Neodiprion lecontei: one gene and its partners. The main gene of each other region encodes a partner of the protein of the gene in region 3 in a complex. Links are inferred from orthologs where the notes say so. Each region holds a gene or a part of one and is shown on either strand. Other genes may lie near its edges.

Region 1 (5,421 bases), on a different chromosome or scaffold from region 3:
CCAACTGCCCCAGAAGCAGCAGTTGAAGTAACGGATCCACCTAAGAAATTCATTTATTTAAATTTTGTGTTTCAATGAGAAAAACTTCACAAATCACTAATCTTCAATTACAATAAGGTATTTGAAAAAAAGTATAATCTTGATTTTCATTCAACAGGAAGGATCAAAATCTGAATATCAAAAGATATTTAAACTAGTTGTTACACAATACTACAGGAGTAAACATAGGCATTGATAGAAAAAACATTAGTCACACCTTTTTTCTGCTTTTTGCGCGCAATCTTTGATTCGTCTTCGCTACTAGCTCCAGCACTTCCTTTCTTTCGTTTTTCTTTCTCTTTGAGTTTCTTCCTGCCTTTTTTACTAACAGCACTATCTTCCTGGACTCTATTTGTATTCAATGCCTTGTCTTGAATTTCTGCTTCAAATCTAGCAAGGTCTGAATCGAGTCTTCTAATGTGTTTGTCAACCAGCTCGTAGGTCTGTATAGCCAATTGAACCTTATCGTCCCCATATTCTTTAGCTTTGTTGAAAAGACTTTGGATGTGATTTAACTGTTCTTTTTTCTTATCCGCCGAAAGCGTTTTCACATTTCTCAAATATTCATCAGCCAGCTTGTCTAGATCTTTCATCAGCCCCTGCGCACGTGCATCCAGATCACGCATCAATGTGAAATTTCGTTGTAGTTCAATCGGTAGATTATCTAAACCTGAAAAGTGTTGGAAAATGACTGAATTTCAAACTGGTAAGGTTTTCCCGCAATTTCTAATGAAATGTTAATATTTTACAACATGATAGTTTTCATTTGCAGAGGAATAAAGAAATTTCCCGCTTGAAAAAATTCAATTTTTTCATCAGAAGTTATGGTTATGTGAGATGCAACTATTTAGGAAAACTACGAGTTTTTATTGGTGTAAGCACTTAGAATATACTTCACGTAACTTTCACATAACAAAAAAGATAATAACGTTATATTTTGGCACAGATGTCCTAGCATCTCACATAAATATCTCTTCTGAACATCAATTTGTTTCCTGAAAAATATTAACTTCAACACCGACTCATTGACATCCCATGTTGGTTAGCTTATTGATAGGTTAAGTTCATTGACGGTAGGCTAAAGAATGTAACTGATTAATGAAGTAAACTTCAAGGGACCTCATATTGAGAGGTCTAGTTTGATTCTACCTGACCGTGGTTACAACAAGCGATATTCTTCTTGTTAAACAACCATAAATAAAAGTTTACTTACTGTCCAGGTAATGTTCCAAGTACAATGCGGACGTCATTTCGCAGGGTAGACACCGCGGTAGAAACCCCGGGCTTGCGTTTTTTTTTTTTAATTACTCGAAGTTTGCTTGTGCAGGGTATAGTGGAACCGATTATTATACCACACACTGTTATTATTGACTTCACATCACTAGTAATAAAGTTGAAATCGTTACACCTACTCCATTCTCTCACTTTTGTATATGGGTGGAAATTGAATTCCTTCTAATTGGCACATACGTACACAAAACTGACCAGTGTCACTGTGTGTGCATAATTCAGTCGGCCGATTTTATTCACACTTTATTCGGACAAGCCTGCGGGGGAGTTTACACAACACAGCGGAGGTGGCGACACACTCTGAGTCATTCGCACGTTACGACTAACTATATGGATAACATATGTATGCACAGTGTGCATCGGTTACCGCTGAATTGCTGAATTGTGACGGTGTGGAAGAAAAGTGGGCATCCTTATCATGTAAAATAATTTCAATTAAATCTTATTGATTAAAATTACTTCTCCAAACGGAATACAACTCGAGATCGTCACTTCATCATAGTGAAAATTTGAATGATTTGAACTTGATTTGAACGATCTTAAAACAAACGTCGTGTCGCCGACCTCCGTCTGCAATCCCCCCTACAATCCCCTTCCCAAGCCCTGCGACGGACATACCCGTGTTACGTGTATGCGTGTCGTCGGACGTCGCCCGCCGTCTGCGACGCGCAGTTCTAGTGGGTGATGTGTCAGTGCTGTTAGTAGTCGCAGCAAGCTTGTAAGTGGTAAGGTACGCGATTTGACATTTGCCTTTAACCGAGGAGGGCGGAGCCAAAAACAACAATTTTAGTTCATTTTTCCGCGGATCTACCCTCTGAATCAGGATTTCATTAACGGAGGTAAAAAGCAGAAAATTCTCTCAAATATTGTGTGACACAATTCCGACTGCCCTTATCTTAATTTCACTTCATATCACTTTGTTTTACTTTCACATAGTATCGCGCTGAATGAGTCCAATTTTTTGATATTCTTGTAGGAAAGAAAAATCAAATAATGATCATTGCCACACTGGCAGTGCGACTGACAACAAGATTCTACCGGCGGTGAGAGTTGAAAACTAGGTAACGAAAGGAGGTCAAGTTCTAGTTGGAGCCGAAATTTTCCTAGGCTTACGTCGGTTGTATCTTCTTAGTCTTCTTTCCTGAACTCCCGGCTAGCCGAGTTCACTAGGTAAGCAATTATCTACATCAAATGTTAATGTGTACGATATGTGAAAAACGATAATCTTTTAGAAAAAAACTGCAATGCAAATAGCTTGTTTTTGTTACAGTCGAAAATGGTCAAATTGTACGCTTTAACCATCCTATACAAAGGCCCAACTACAGCAACAACGATCAAATCAGCTTATGAACTTGGATCTTTTTCGTTTTTTCAACGCAGTAGTGCTCAGGAATTTATGGCATTTGTCAGTAAAACGATTACTGAAAGAACTCAAATTGCAGCCAGACAAAGCGTCAAGGAAAAAGGTATTTATTTTCCAGTCTCTGTACTTTATAAAATATCATTTCATCGTGATCTGCAACTATTATGAATGACATTGGTTTCGGTGTAGAAACTACTTTTAAAAACAAACCATTGCTTGCTTAATATTAACAACATTTCTAAAGACCTTGAAACAGCCGTTTCATTTCAGTTAATTTTTGCTCCGTGCGTGCTTATTGTCTGTTTTTTTTCTATATTATCTATTTTCAGGTTGCTACCGATTGTCTCACTAAGTTCACATATTTTCTCTGTTCTTTCAGAGTATATGTGTCACGTTTATGTGAGAGCGGATAATTTAGCTGGCGTTCTAATCTCCGATCATGAGTATCCTAGCAGAGTTTCGCACACGTTGATCACAAAAGTACTAGATGAATTTGCTGCCCAGTACCCACCCAGTACATGTGCCACTTTAAATGAAGCGACAACAATATTTCCACAAGTGAATACGTACTTGGCGAAATATCAAAATCCCCGGGAAGCAGATGCATTTACAAAAATGCAGAATGACCTTGATGAAACCAAGATCATTTTGGTGAGTTTGAAGATTTTCTTAAACTGAGTTTCTTAGTTATCCAGTTTCAGCTCGTCGGTTTGGTCGTTTATGAAATATAATTGGACAAATGAGTTTGAAATTCGTAACATTAGTACTCTTACAAATCATTTATAAAAAATCTCTGTTTTTTAACTTTAGAATGACTTTGAAGAAGACGAATTTGCCAAAAAATAATGTTTTTTATTTTATTATTGTTACTTACTAAATTTCAGAGAATTTTCAAGTCGCATCATTGCATTAATATTAAAAAATACATGTTCCAAACAAAGTAGTGTCATTATCTATTTTTCTTTCCAATCCTAGAGGTTTTTCTTATGTACTGCACTCTCTGTCTAGCAAGCAATGCTTCCAATTCATTTTCTGAGATGTAAACAGTGGCATTCATTTATGTGCTGTTGTTAGTTTTCAGATAGTTATTGTGTATTGAAAGATTATGTAACTGATGCAGATAAGATACTATAAAGAATCACAAGTGTCTATTTCTATGAATACAGTAATTCATTTTTCTTACAGCATAATACAATAGAAGCAGTTTTAGAAAGGGGCGAAAAATTGGACGATTTGGTGTCAAAATCAGAAGGCCTTAGCATGCAGTCAAAAGCATTTTACAAAACAGCACGGAAAACCAATTCCTGTTGCAGCTTGACGGCTTAAACACGGTATACCATGATTCCATTGTGTTCATATTATTGTGTTACAAATGTGAAGATAGGTTTGTCAAGAAAAGAATGTTGAGTAATGTTTGAAATTTGAAAGCTAATTGATAACTTTTGCCTGCCGCAACAGTTTATTGTTCAGATGATTTTGCCTCCTCGGTATAATTAATTACCTGTGAATGTACAATTTTTTAATTTTTGAATGGATTTTACCTCCGATTGCAAAAGGTGGTTTGTCTTACCAATAGATTTCACTTGTATATTTTCTATTGAGCAAGATTGATTTAAATATTGCGCAGCCGAAGGTATGGATGTTTTTAAAGAGGCCTAAGTAAGTAATGTTATCCTTAATATATGTTAATGAACAATATGCTTTAATGCAACATATTATCCATCAATGTTGAAATACGAGTGACTGAATTTTATGTGTCTTGATTGCAAAGGGATAATTTTTCAAGACGTCATCAGATTGTATTCGAGAGTAATCAGTGTTGTCTAGCATCATAAAGAATGTCACAGAGTTCAGTATTCAACTCAAGTTACTTCAGTTTAATCAAAAAGTGGGGTTAATTTTAATTGGATTGTATACATACAGACTTTAATATCCTTTCCTTTTAAGACACATAAACAGAAATTTCACAAAATCTATGTAACCCAATGTCTATTAAACGTCTTCTTTGTCGTTGATATGTTATTCTTATTGCAAATGGAATGTAACTTGTTATTCCGTTATGCAGTTTCGGCATTGGATAAGAGTTCAATTATGGATGAAACAAAAAAATATGTGTACGTATTTATGTATTTAAAAAGTATTTCAATATATCATGTCTAAATTTAAAAAATACCACTCCAATTTTTTCCTCTAAACGTGATGTTTATCTACTCTCAGTGCCAAGGAACGTGAAATGTAAGTAATTGACCATAAGTATGAATTACATAGAATGTTATTTATTGTAATTTGTCGGTTTGTACAAGTCTACCAGGACAACTTCAATTCGGTGCACTACAATGTAATCACTTCTGCCGATTTGTGAATTTTTTCTTATGTTTTTAGCAGCACCTAGTTTACGAAAAAAACGGCATTCTGTATTCCCGAATAGTAGGGCGCCCTTTCCACAGTAATCCCGTATCTCCCATATCTTTATTGAAGCCTTTCATATACTTGTTACCAGGTGCCTAGTTACAAAAACAAAGATATAAACATATGTAAGAAAATATTTTCGAAAAATGTAGTGACATTTTTACAGAAGTTACTTTTTTTTAATCAATAACTAATCGGTTGAATCTGTAGATCAGACTGAAATACTTACATTTTCCCAAACCTTTTGATATGCGAGATGATCAGCTCCTGATACAATGAGCTCTGGTGCATTGACTTCCCCTAAGTTAAATAGCACTTTG
Region 2 (4,190 bases), on a different chromosome or scaffold from region 3:
AATCGCGTATAAATAAATGCAGTCACCCTTTATCCGTAATTAAAACAACCATTATTCGTCCACAATTAAAGCAATCATCTTTCATTGATAGTTAATAGTCAGCAGGTTAAATGGACTAAAAATCTTCGAACAAACTGCGTATATATATGAGCAGAAATTAATTAGTAAAAGCTGTTTACCGAAATCGAAATGCGAGATAAAATCATCTGTATATTTCCAACGAACGTATAATAAATCCTGCAACTCTTCTTTGTCGAATAGGGCCACTAGGGATACCAAGCTAAGAGAAAAAAAAAAACAAAAACGCGTCGATTGCTCTACCGTTTACGGAGGTGTGGAAACTAGCAAATGTGATTCAATCTATTTCAATAAACGTATTTTCATAATGATTATTTGTGTTTATTCTCTTATAGAATGTACTAATTTGTGGAATTGTTAGAATCAGTTGTACGTATATTTGACCAACTTACGAATTTTTTTTGGATAATTTTTTTCTATACGTGTGTGTACGCATATGACTAATAACAATGCGACTCATAGTTAGTGACTCCCCATGTCACACGAATGTAATACTTTTGTTTTTATCCTGGCACAAATAATCGTCAATCTATTGCCGAAAAAATTTATCTAGTTCGCTTCAGATGAAGGGCCGACAATAAATAAATACGAACGGAGTCAGAAAATTCATTGCAAAATCAAAGAAGTTAGATAATTCAGGGTGAATATTTGTTTAAAGCTAGAAACAGATTCTCATTTTCATTGGTCATCATGCATACAGAATAGTGATGAATTTGAACTTTCCCAGTTTAGTCAGAGAGAATCCAAGTTGATCATTATTCACACCCATCGATCATTATTTACAATGACAATAATGAATTTCAATTTCTGTGAAAATCTCCTGTGTTGATGGGAATTGAAGTCTCGTTTTCGTTTATTCGTAACTTTAAAAATCGACAAAAGTTATTTCCGTCGGTCAATGATACGCCTGAAACATGGGCGACGGCATCTCGCAAACATGAGCTTTTGTATCAGCCATGCGCAGATGGGTTCTTTCTTCCAGTCGAGTGATCGAATAATTTCCATACTGTTTATTTAGAAGAATTGATGTTTTTCCTAACATTCGTGTGAGTTATTTCATTATTTTTATCAAAGAGAATTTCTTGTTTCTGTAAAACCATTGTGCGAATCATGCACGACAATTTAGTGAGTCTTAAACTCACATATTTGCATGAAAAAATTAACACTTCTGAAAATTTAGTATCACCTATTAAATATAACTGTCTAATAGGGAATACAATTTGTTAGCTCAGTTTCATACAATTCTTAAAATTGGTGACTCTAAAATTTCATTGAAATGTTTCTTTATCTTTTTTTCAATATCGCTATCTTTCAATATTTATTGCCATATTTTTATCTCACGTCTTCAACATATTTTGGTCCAGAGAAATGTTTTAAGGGTTAATTTTAAACCTGTACAGTGAGAATAATTTTTCTTGTCGGTTAGTATGGAATGCGACATTGTCATACATGAAGCACTCTGCATTATCTGCTGATTTCAAGATTGTAAATTCCAGTCGGTTACTGAGAGGCCTGTAGTATCAGTTAAAAATTGGTTGAAACGAACAACTTGTTTCTTGTCAGAGGGTGGCTGCTCATAGGGAAGGAAGAGTCTATGGGGAGTCTGTGTTGTCTGTTGTTTCGACGATTTTGGAAACGTCAGATTACAGCTGAAGCGACATAAGTGATACTTATTTTCTGTGTAATAAATATGGATAAGTCGATGACTTATTAATTTTACTGCCTATCGAATGGAATTCGGCGCTCAGAATGGTGAGGAAAATCCTTAAGATATAATCAATTCTTTGAATCTGACCTGATCTAATCTAACCCTATTTAACCTAAAAATTTTTCAGTCGAAGCTGATGAAAGACGTCGTATTACCACCAAAAATTCCAAAATTACTTATAGAGAAACACGGAAATTATTTAGCCTCCTATGGTAACAACAAAGACGATTATGTAAGTGCCTAGGAAATTGTATTTATTATAAAAAAGTGATTAACCCAACCATGACGATTGTTTATTCCAACTGAAATACCTTTGGATATTTGATTCGAGTTAATTAGCGCAAATGGGATTAAATTTGATCAACAATCTGACCGATGTTAAAAATTCTTCTATTCAGGAATTCTGTATGACCGAGTACCTCAGGATGTCTGGAATGTTTTGGGGTCTAACGGCAATGGATTTGATGGGTCAATTGGACAGAATGGACAAGCAGGAGGTTTTGGAATTTGTAGCAAAGTGCCAGCACGACTGTGGTGGAATCAGTGCCAGCATTGACCACGATCCCCACTTACTTTACACCCTGAGCGCCGTGCAGATATTGTGCATGTACGATGCTCTGGATGTTATAGATGTTGAAAAAGTCGTCGAATACGTGCAAAAAAGGCAGATGCCTGATGGAAGTTTCACAGGGGATATCTGGGGCGAATTGGATAACAGATTTTCATTCTGCGCAGTCGCCACTCTTTCGTTACTGGTGAGATGTCTAAAATTGAGCATCTCGCAAGACCAGAAAGACTTTCTATTTATGTGATTGCAAATCCAAATACTCACTTCGTGTTTCTTCCTTCATCAGGGTAGACTGGATGCGATAAACGTTGACAAAGCTGTTGAGTATGTCTTGAGCTGCATGAATTTCGACGGTGGTTTTGGTTCAAAACCAGGCTCTGAGAGTCACGCTGGTTTGATTTACTGTTGCGTTGCGTTCTTGTCAATAACCGGTACGCGTTGTGCGACTTTTTATTCTTTTTAACTTGAGGTAATATGCTTGTTATTAATCAAGATCCTTTCACCTCAAAGGACACCTTCACGAAATTGATGCTGACCAGCTGGGCTGGTGGCTATGCGAAAGGCAGCTACCATCCGGCGGGCTCAACGGGAGACCTGAAAAATTACCCGACGTTTGTTATTCATGGTGGGTTTTGTCCTCGCTAACTATTTTGGGTCGTCTTCATTGGATAGACAAAAATGAGCTGGTAACACGCGTTTATTTGGCTTTTTAGTTCCTTGTTGTGTTGTTCGAGTTTAACGCTACTGATTTTTCGTCCCAGATAAATTTCGTCTTGGCGTGTCAGGATCCTGAAACGGGTGGGTTCAGCGATCGCCCTGGAGACATGGTTGACCCTTTCCACACGCTGTTCGGTCTGACGGCCATTTCGCTCTTGGACGCGGACTCTTCGTTGAAACCTGTAAATCCGACGTACTGTATGCCGCAGTACGTGATCGACCGAATCGGTCTTAAGCCCTCACGGGTGGATTAATATTTGCAACAATTAGGTGAACAAAAAGACATTCACGCGACTAATAAGAAAGAAAGAGAGGGAGAAAAAGCGAGAGAGAGAGAGAGAGAAAAGTATACGAACAACAGAATTGTCAATTCTTGTATGCCGTTTCTGTAATATATTTAAATCTTTATCAAACATTCCTCTGCGAATTGCTGTATCAAATTTTATTCATTCGTTTCTCGCAAGTCGGTTGTGTAGATGAACCTGTAATAAACTTCTACCTTTATGATTATTCGGTTAATGCACGTCCAAATAATATAGACTTAAACGTGTTTATAGATTAACCATGAAAAACTGCGATGAATCATACAATTTATTACACTTAATCGCATTTACTCGAGACCAAACACCTGTTGATATTCCCTTGTTCGTTTTTGTAATTCGACATTACGCACGCATTCATTTATTACGGATGTAGCACGACTATAGACAATCGAATGATCGGCAGTTAATGTACATGTAAGTTCGATTTTCAGAAATGTGTTCGAGATTGTTACTTTAGTTTCAAATTCTTGGGTAATTTGACTACAGGCCAAAATCGTGTCCAGCATTATTGAATAATGATTGTACAATCCATCAAACCTTGTCCATTAAGGTGACGTGTTATTGACAGTGATAATTGATGGAGAACATTAGCAGTTGTAACGCCGTATGTTGGTCACTTTTCTCAACCTTTTATTATTACTAAAGTCAGTCTTTGAACTAGAAATCAAGAATTACGGTACCAGTATTTTTCGGCAGTATGCATCGTAACCAATCTCTTCTTATAATTGTTACCCTAGTTTTTTTATTACTTGGAGGCGGTACCGGTTCACTGAAATCGATTCTAGAAACTGGAAGA
Region 3 (5,697 bases):
ATGGCACCGAGAACAACCAAAATGAATACGATTCGCTGTACGCCTGTAACTCAGCGTGACGCCACCACGCCGACCATACAACTTACACTTTCATTGGCTCCATGGGAAGCGCGGTGAAATCCGCACGGCGTCGAACGAACGTTCGGGACAAGATGACAAGTTAGACTTTTCACAACCTATCGCAATACACATCCAAAGTCACATCGAGGAACAATCAACTTTCGTCATCGGGTAACGCCGTGTATAGATGTGTAAAATGAGGGTTCAGATCACGGTCTTACATGCAGGTCTGGAAATTCTGGTGGTGGGGGTGACTCACTTCTTGACAGTGCTTCTTGAGTTTCCTTTCAATAATTCTTAGATTGGCCGCAAGGGTCGCTGTAGCCTAGTAGGGTCACCCGTATCACCTGTGAGCGACAGAGATAGAAAAAATTTCTCTCTGTTGGCGCAAGCGCGCTACAGCCTAATAACGAAATTTGAGGTTCTGTAACTCAGCCCTACTAGATAGTAGCGACGCAGTGCCGAAACTGTAAACTACAAATTGATTCAATATCTGAGTCACTCCTAGCCTACCCCCTCCAATGGAGTTTCCAGACCTGTATGTAAGACCGTGGTTCAGGTCCCGACCAATCATGGCCGCGTATCAACAGACGGTCTGTAAGTTAATGCGGAAAACGGCACATGGAAACAAAGCCGTTGAAAGTCGTGTACTGTTAAATCAGTCAAATAAAATATCAAGTTCTTTCAAAGCCATTATAAAAACTAATTACGATTAATCTCCAATTCTATCCTTCTCGCTCATCAATTTCGCATAGCGCTCTCCTCCGTCCTCCCTATGATATTTCGATTTCACGTTTGCCACCTTTTTCTTGGATTTAAAGTCGGTCGAGGTTAGAATTGCAATTACTCAGTTTTCACTGGTTTTATCCGTTTTATCTCACTTCAAATGCGTATATTACGAGTTTACGGAATATGTATATAGTACGGAGGTTTATAGGTTGCGATCGGCGCCCTTCCTTTTTACATTTTACAGCGAAAATTTTATTCTTTCCATAAGAGGCGCTTGAATCGCATTAAGACAATTCTATTTACATTACTTCAAAACTGGGGACAAGTTTCATCGCATAGTGTTGCCTCCTTTCTACTACTCCGTGTTTCGATATTAGCTCCCAGTGCTATCATCAATCTTTCATCTTTGTTGCGCTGCCTAGTTTGTCGGTTAGTCTGGCTCTGTCCTAGGGAGTTTTTAGCACAGCTGGAGAATATCGGAACGCACTCATACTGATCTGGTATGAGGTGGTCTGAAGTTTCGGAACCCAACCCTATGGAGAAGTAGTAGTACTACGTGGTAACATGATTGATGCGTGTCGTGGTGTCGACCAGTGTCGACCAGCCTTGAAAATGGATTCGCATGAAGGCTTTTGGTAGATACGTCAACAGTAAATGGCTGATCATGCCAAGCGGTAAAATAAATTCTTGAATACATATTTATACTTGAAAAAATTATGTGGCATTTCAAGTGATAATGACATTGCTATTATAATGTAGAACACGAGGCGTGGGAATTTCGAAACTGCGGAAATACCTGTCGGTGACTGGCTTCAGTCAAGGAACTTACCTTTTCTTCAGATCGTCGATGACCCGGCGTTATCTTCGATATATTTTACCATCGAGGACGCGTCATGCCAACTACAGACAGTTTTTAACAACTTTCGCAGAAAATAAAAAGAGAAGGAAAAAATAGCAAAAAAAAAAAGCAACCTTCACATCATTCATGGCGGATGTGCCGCAGCGTGTACGTACAAAATACGAGAAAGTGTTCCGAACCAGTTCAGCATTGACCCTGAAAGAAATGTAACAAAAATCAGCCAGTCACACGATGCAGGAGGACTTTTTCCCCGCGGCTGAGAAAATACTTTCTGACATCGAGATTGTGTTGCAGAAGGATCCGAATCTGTGAGTTTTGGGACCAATATGGGCGGGGTTTTCGAATATTCTTACAGTCAGACAAACAGGATTTATTCGTTGTACAGAAAATCCGAGTTTTTTTTATGCATTTCATCCATATCATGCGGACTATATCTGTTTTTACGTGTACCCAGCACTATCGGTATGTCACTGTAAACGAGCTTGCACATATGTATGTACATAATTATGTAAATTTATACACCTACTATTGACAATACAAAGTTGCTTTTAGATTATTTTGTGTTAATCTTCGTCTATATCTCTTGCTGTATGCTTTTCAAATCTGGCACAGCTGAAGTGTCACATATTAGTATGCATTAATATCCAGGAATTGTTCAATCACCAAAAGTTTGAAATAGAATCCATCTCTACAGCCTCAAAACTCATATGATATTGCATGCAATTCATTTCAAGACTTCATTCCCCCATTATTTTGTTTTCTCTACTAAAATGCTTTGAGTTCAAAATTTAATCAATTAAAATTACGAGTTTGGAATAAAGTCATGATAATCTGTGCAAAAAGTTCTGTTACAAAAGTTCTACGATTTGCCAGTGAGTTTCCAAAATTTTATTCAGCAAGAAAAAATTTTCAACATTTAAGTCCACTTTTGGCTTCAGATCTATGTAAATGACCTGTGATAGACAAAATGCTTATTTCTTCTCTTCGACAAACATTGTGACATTTTTATTTGAAGAATGGACTGATAATGTAATCTTTCTAATGTTATTAACAAATGTACTTTTGTAATTTAGATTTGCAGATGTCAAATTTTTCCAATCTTCCTCAACAGATTTTTTAAATAAAATTCGAAATGATTAATTTTCGTTTTATTGTATCCTGATTTCATCACCTTTCCAGTTAGGTAAATTTTTACTAGATCATACCTTGAACTGATTTTATTTCACTCGATGCTAGAATTCGTAAATTTTACTGAGTGTCCCAGATAGACGGTCCAATTTCAAAATATGACATAAAAAATAGTATTATTTTCAAATAACCGGCAATTTAGAAAGTATATGCAAATTCGCAAATGCTGTTTATACGGCGCCCAGGCAATATCTTTGGAACACTTCTTGCAAATCATTCTTGAAATCCATATTTCGCAGTATGCAATATTGGAACATTCATTTTTATAATGCATTAGAAAATTCATGCCAATATTTGAAACCTGCTTATTTTTATTTACCGAAAAGTAAATATATCATCATTAATGTTTGGCAGGATCGGCTTCGAAATAATACCTGCGGTGGACAACGAGAACAAATCACCAGTGCTTCATGCTGATAATTCTCTAGGCCTAGCATCATGGAGTGTGAAACCGCTATACCGTTACACATACAATCGACTGCTCGAATTGCGTCAGAATCGCAATAAAAGGGAGGACCCGAGTACTATTTCCCGATGGCTACTAGGTGCATTGTTGTTGAATCCTGACGTAACAACGTTTTGGAACATGCGGCGAGAACTTGTGAGGAATGGAAGACTTGAGTGGAAAGGTGAACTACACTTCGTTGCGGTTGTTCTGTACTACAAAGCAAAATGCTTCGAAGCGTTCGCTTACAGGCGTTGGCTTCTCCAATTCGCGTTTAGTAGTGCTAACACACTTGAAACGTTGGATGTTGAAAGACTGCTGAAAAACGAAGTGGACATTTCCTCGATGTCCGCTGATAGATACGCAAACAACTATCACGCCTGGAATCATCGCGAGTACATTGTTACCACCTTCGCCATATATTCTCCATGTACTTTTGCCTCATTTTTAGAGTCAGAATGGCTGACTTCGGGAAAATGGTGCAGTCTCCACATATCCGACTACAGCGGGTTTGCTTATCGACAATTTTTGATGAAGAGGCTTCTCCAGGCTGATGACGAATTCACTCATATAACCAGGCAAGAAATGAAATTCAGGGAAACCATCGCCAAATTTGTTAAACTTGAAGATACCGCTCATATTTTGACTGCTCCATGTTATCAAGTTTTAAACTATTTGCACGCCACCCCTGGTCACCAAAATCGCCACAACACTGACTATCTTTCTATCCTCACCGGTCTCTCATATTGGGCTGAAGAATGTATGTTTAACGAAGAATTGCTCAATCTCTATCCAGGTCACGAGTCTTTTTGGTATCACAGAAGGTTTCTTTCTCACCTCTTGGTTGTCATGAGCAAGTCATACGAGAGATATTCTTATTATAAAACAGAACTGATCGATAAAAATTTACACCGACTTTTGGGCGGTGAAGGAGACGGATCTGAAACTCTGGAATTTCACCGCAGAGCACAGAGTCCGTTGGAATCCGCGTACCGGAAGCGGAATTCGGATGTAATTGCGAGAGCTAGAGAAGTCGGCGGTCACCAAAACATCATGGGCGAAAGATTTGCTAGGTTTTTAACGAGCTCTGGTTTAGAATTGTGAATTTTTAAGCTGTTTCGATTTTTCTAGGAAAATGATACTTATTGAACCTACAGTACTGGTGTACCCTTATTGTATGTTTATGTATTTGGTGTGTAACAGGCCTATGTGATTAATCGATTTATTGTAAAACCGATTAATTGATGACACGTAAAAAAGATCAAGTAAAGCGCCGGAAATTGATTGGAAAACGTATAAATCGATTTTTTTAAAAAGAAATTTTTATTCCAAGTCTACGATTAATTGATTAAACGCACAGCCTTGGTGTGTAAGCTATCCCCGTCTAAGTAAGATTGCGTTAATGGGGTAGTGGGTCAGCTGTTTTCATTGCATCTTATACCTATCGGTAGGTATGTTCAACTTCCATGAAAAGGTGTAGAGAAACGGTCGTTTAATCATATAACGTTATTTGATTATCGTGTAATAAAGGAAATTACAATTTTTGTTAAACATGTATGTACGTATCTAATTACCTTCGCTGAATGTGAACGAATGTTACTGTTGTGCGTATATTTAAATTGTTTCAAGTTTACCAAAGTTACCTGGCCAAGGTGGTTGTCTAAGGGATGAGCTGATTTTATGACTGGCATATTGATAAGTTCCCTAATCACGGTTTATAGATAGTATAGAGGGTAGTCTTTATTAGAGTTGTATATTTTAAATAAACTGTAAAAATTTATATGCATATTAATTGGATACTTCCATTATTGACATGTATAAATCTCACGCGCCCATTTTGATTATTATAGTGAAAAAAATATCTGATCAAATAATTATGCATACAATACAGAGACCCAAAAACCATTTATGAGAACATAGTTGTGAGTATTATATTAACTATGACAATAATTTGTTTATTAGTTAAAAATATGTGTCTTACGAATTTATATACGAATTCTGGGGATTCGCATTTGAAATAAGTGGATAATTTGGCCGATCTTTTTTGGGCCTAAGAACGCGGCTTAAGAACTTCTCGCTAGGGTGCGTTTCGAGTCCATAGAACATTAACGGGTGGGATACAATTTTTTTTTTACTCTTATATTATAATTCGAGAACTATATCACCTATGAAATACAAAATTTGTTCAATCTTGAGTCAAGATATGCCCCGTCAATTGAAACCAAATCATCCTAATTCCTTTATTCGTTCTCCAGATACCGTCGGACAAAGTATTGATCACACACACACAACTAGCGTCCATTCGAAAATCCATTGTATGTATTAACTTCCCTGAATCTTTCTTTCCTGCGAAAAAACGAAGCGGGAAGATAAAAAAAAAATAGGACATTACTTTTGAACCCGCCTATCAGTTGCT

What was found.
Region 1: the proteins of protein prenyltransferase alpha subunit repeat-containing protein 1 (region 3) and synaptobrevin homolog YKT6 are in contact, whole or in part, in a crystal structure (PDB 6J7F), measured with the Homo sapiens proteins. The link is inferred for Neodiprion lecontei from reciprocal best matches to the Homo sapiens genes PTAR1 and YKT6. Residues at the interface, in NP_001093136.1 of Homo sapiens: Glu31, Gly33, Leu34, Ile35, Pro36, Val48, Val50, Glu51, Lys53, Leu54, Gly55, Ser58, Lys135, Tyr191, His225, Ser228, Met229, His230, Val231, Ser232, Asp233, Phe298, Asp301, Leu302, Ser305, Tyr306, His309; in NP_006546.1 of Homo sapiens: Met1, Ser29, Phe30, Phe31, Asn83, Glu84, Pro86, Gln131, Asn132, Pro133, Arg134, Gln180, Phe184, Arg189, Ser193.
Region 2: the proteins of protein prenyltransferase alpha subunit repeat-containing protein 1 (region 3) and geranylgeranyl transferase type-2 subunit beta are in contact, whole or in part, in a crystal structure (PDB 6O60), measured with the Homo sapiens proteins. The link is inferred for Neodiprion lecontei from reciprocal best matches to the Homo sapiens genes PTAR1 and RABGGTB. Residues at the interface, in NP_001093136.1 of Homo sapiens: Val61, Lys62, Leu65, Pro66, His69, Leu73, Arg76, Leu97, Asn98, Asp100, Phe101, Thr102, Thr103, Asn106, Lys109, Glu110, Leu113, Ile141, Arg144, Trp145, Pro192, Ser193, Tyr195, Ser199, Ile202, Trp203, Gln206, Val231, Ser232, His234; in NP_004573.2 of Homo sapiens: Lys6, Asp36, Tyr37, Cys40, Met41, Glu43, Tyr44, Ile89, Gly90, His91, Asp92, Asp136, Trp138, Glu140, Phe177, Asp178, Gly182, Cys183, Arg184, Pro185, Gly186, Ser187, Glu188, Ser189, His190, Gln193, Trp217, Glu221, Arg222, Pro225.

The regions. Positions count from the first base shown.
Region 1 is NC_060263.1:35,806,937-35,812,357, reverse strand, and holds synaptobrevin homolog YKT6, read left to right. Parts: upstream 1-1,732; 5' UTR 1,733-2,168; intron 2,169-2,305; 5' UTR 2,306-2,499; intron 2,500-2,583; 5' UTR 2,584-2,605; coding exon 2,606-2,795; intron 2,796-3,071; coding exon 3,072-3,343; intron 3,344-3,877; coding exon 3,878-4,018; 3' UTR 4,019-4,812; downstream 4,813-5,421. Other genes in the region: inhibitor of growth protein 5, read right to left, coding at 1-40, 257-709, 1,253-1,289; NADH dehydrogenase [ubiquinone] 1 alpha subcomplex subunit 10, mitochondrial, read right to left, coding at 5,086-5,196, 5,331-5,421. UniProt on the Homo sapiens protein: Vesicular soluble NSF attachment protein receptor (v-SNARE) mediating vesicle docking and fusion to a specific acceptor cellular compartment. Functions in endoplasmic reticulum to Golgi transport; as part of a SNARE complex composed of GOSR1, GOSR2 and STX5.
Region 2 is NC_060266.1:23,069,324-23,073,513, reverse strand, and holds geranylgeranyl transferase type-2 subunit beta, read left to right. Parts: upstream 1-1,665; 5' UTR 1,666-1,827; coding exon 1,828-1,830; intron 1,831-1,913; coding exon 1,914-2,018; intron 2,019-2,184; coding exon 2,185-2,541; intron 2,542-2,640; coding exon 2,641-2,785; intron 2,786-2,864; coding exon 2,865-3,040; intron 3,041-3,115; coding exon 3,116-3,325; 3' UTR 3,326-3,581; downstream 3,582-4,190. Other genes in the region: uncharacterized protein LOC124295337, read left to right, coding at 4,092-4,190. UniProt on the Homo sapiens protein: Catalyzes the transfer of a geranylgeranyl moiety from geranylgeranyl diphosphate to both cysteines of Rab proteins with the C-terminal sequence -XXCC, -XCXC and -CCXX, such as RAB1A, RAB3A, RAB5A and RAB7A.
Region 3 is NC_060262.1:18,725,921-18,731,617, reverse strand, and holds protein prenyltransferase alpha subunit repeat-containing protein 1, read left to right. Parts: upstream 1-1,989; 5' UTR 1,990-2,051; coding exon 2,052-2,140; intron 2,141-3,190; coding exon 3,191-4,385; 3' UTR 4,386-5,067; downstream 5,068-5,697.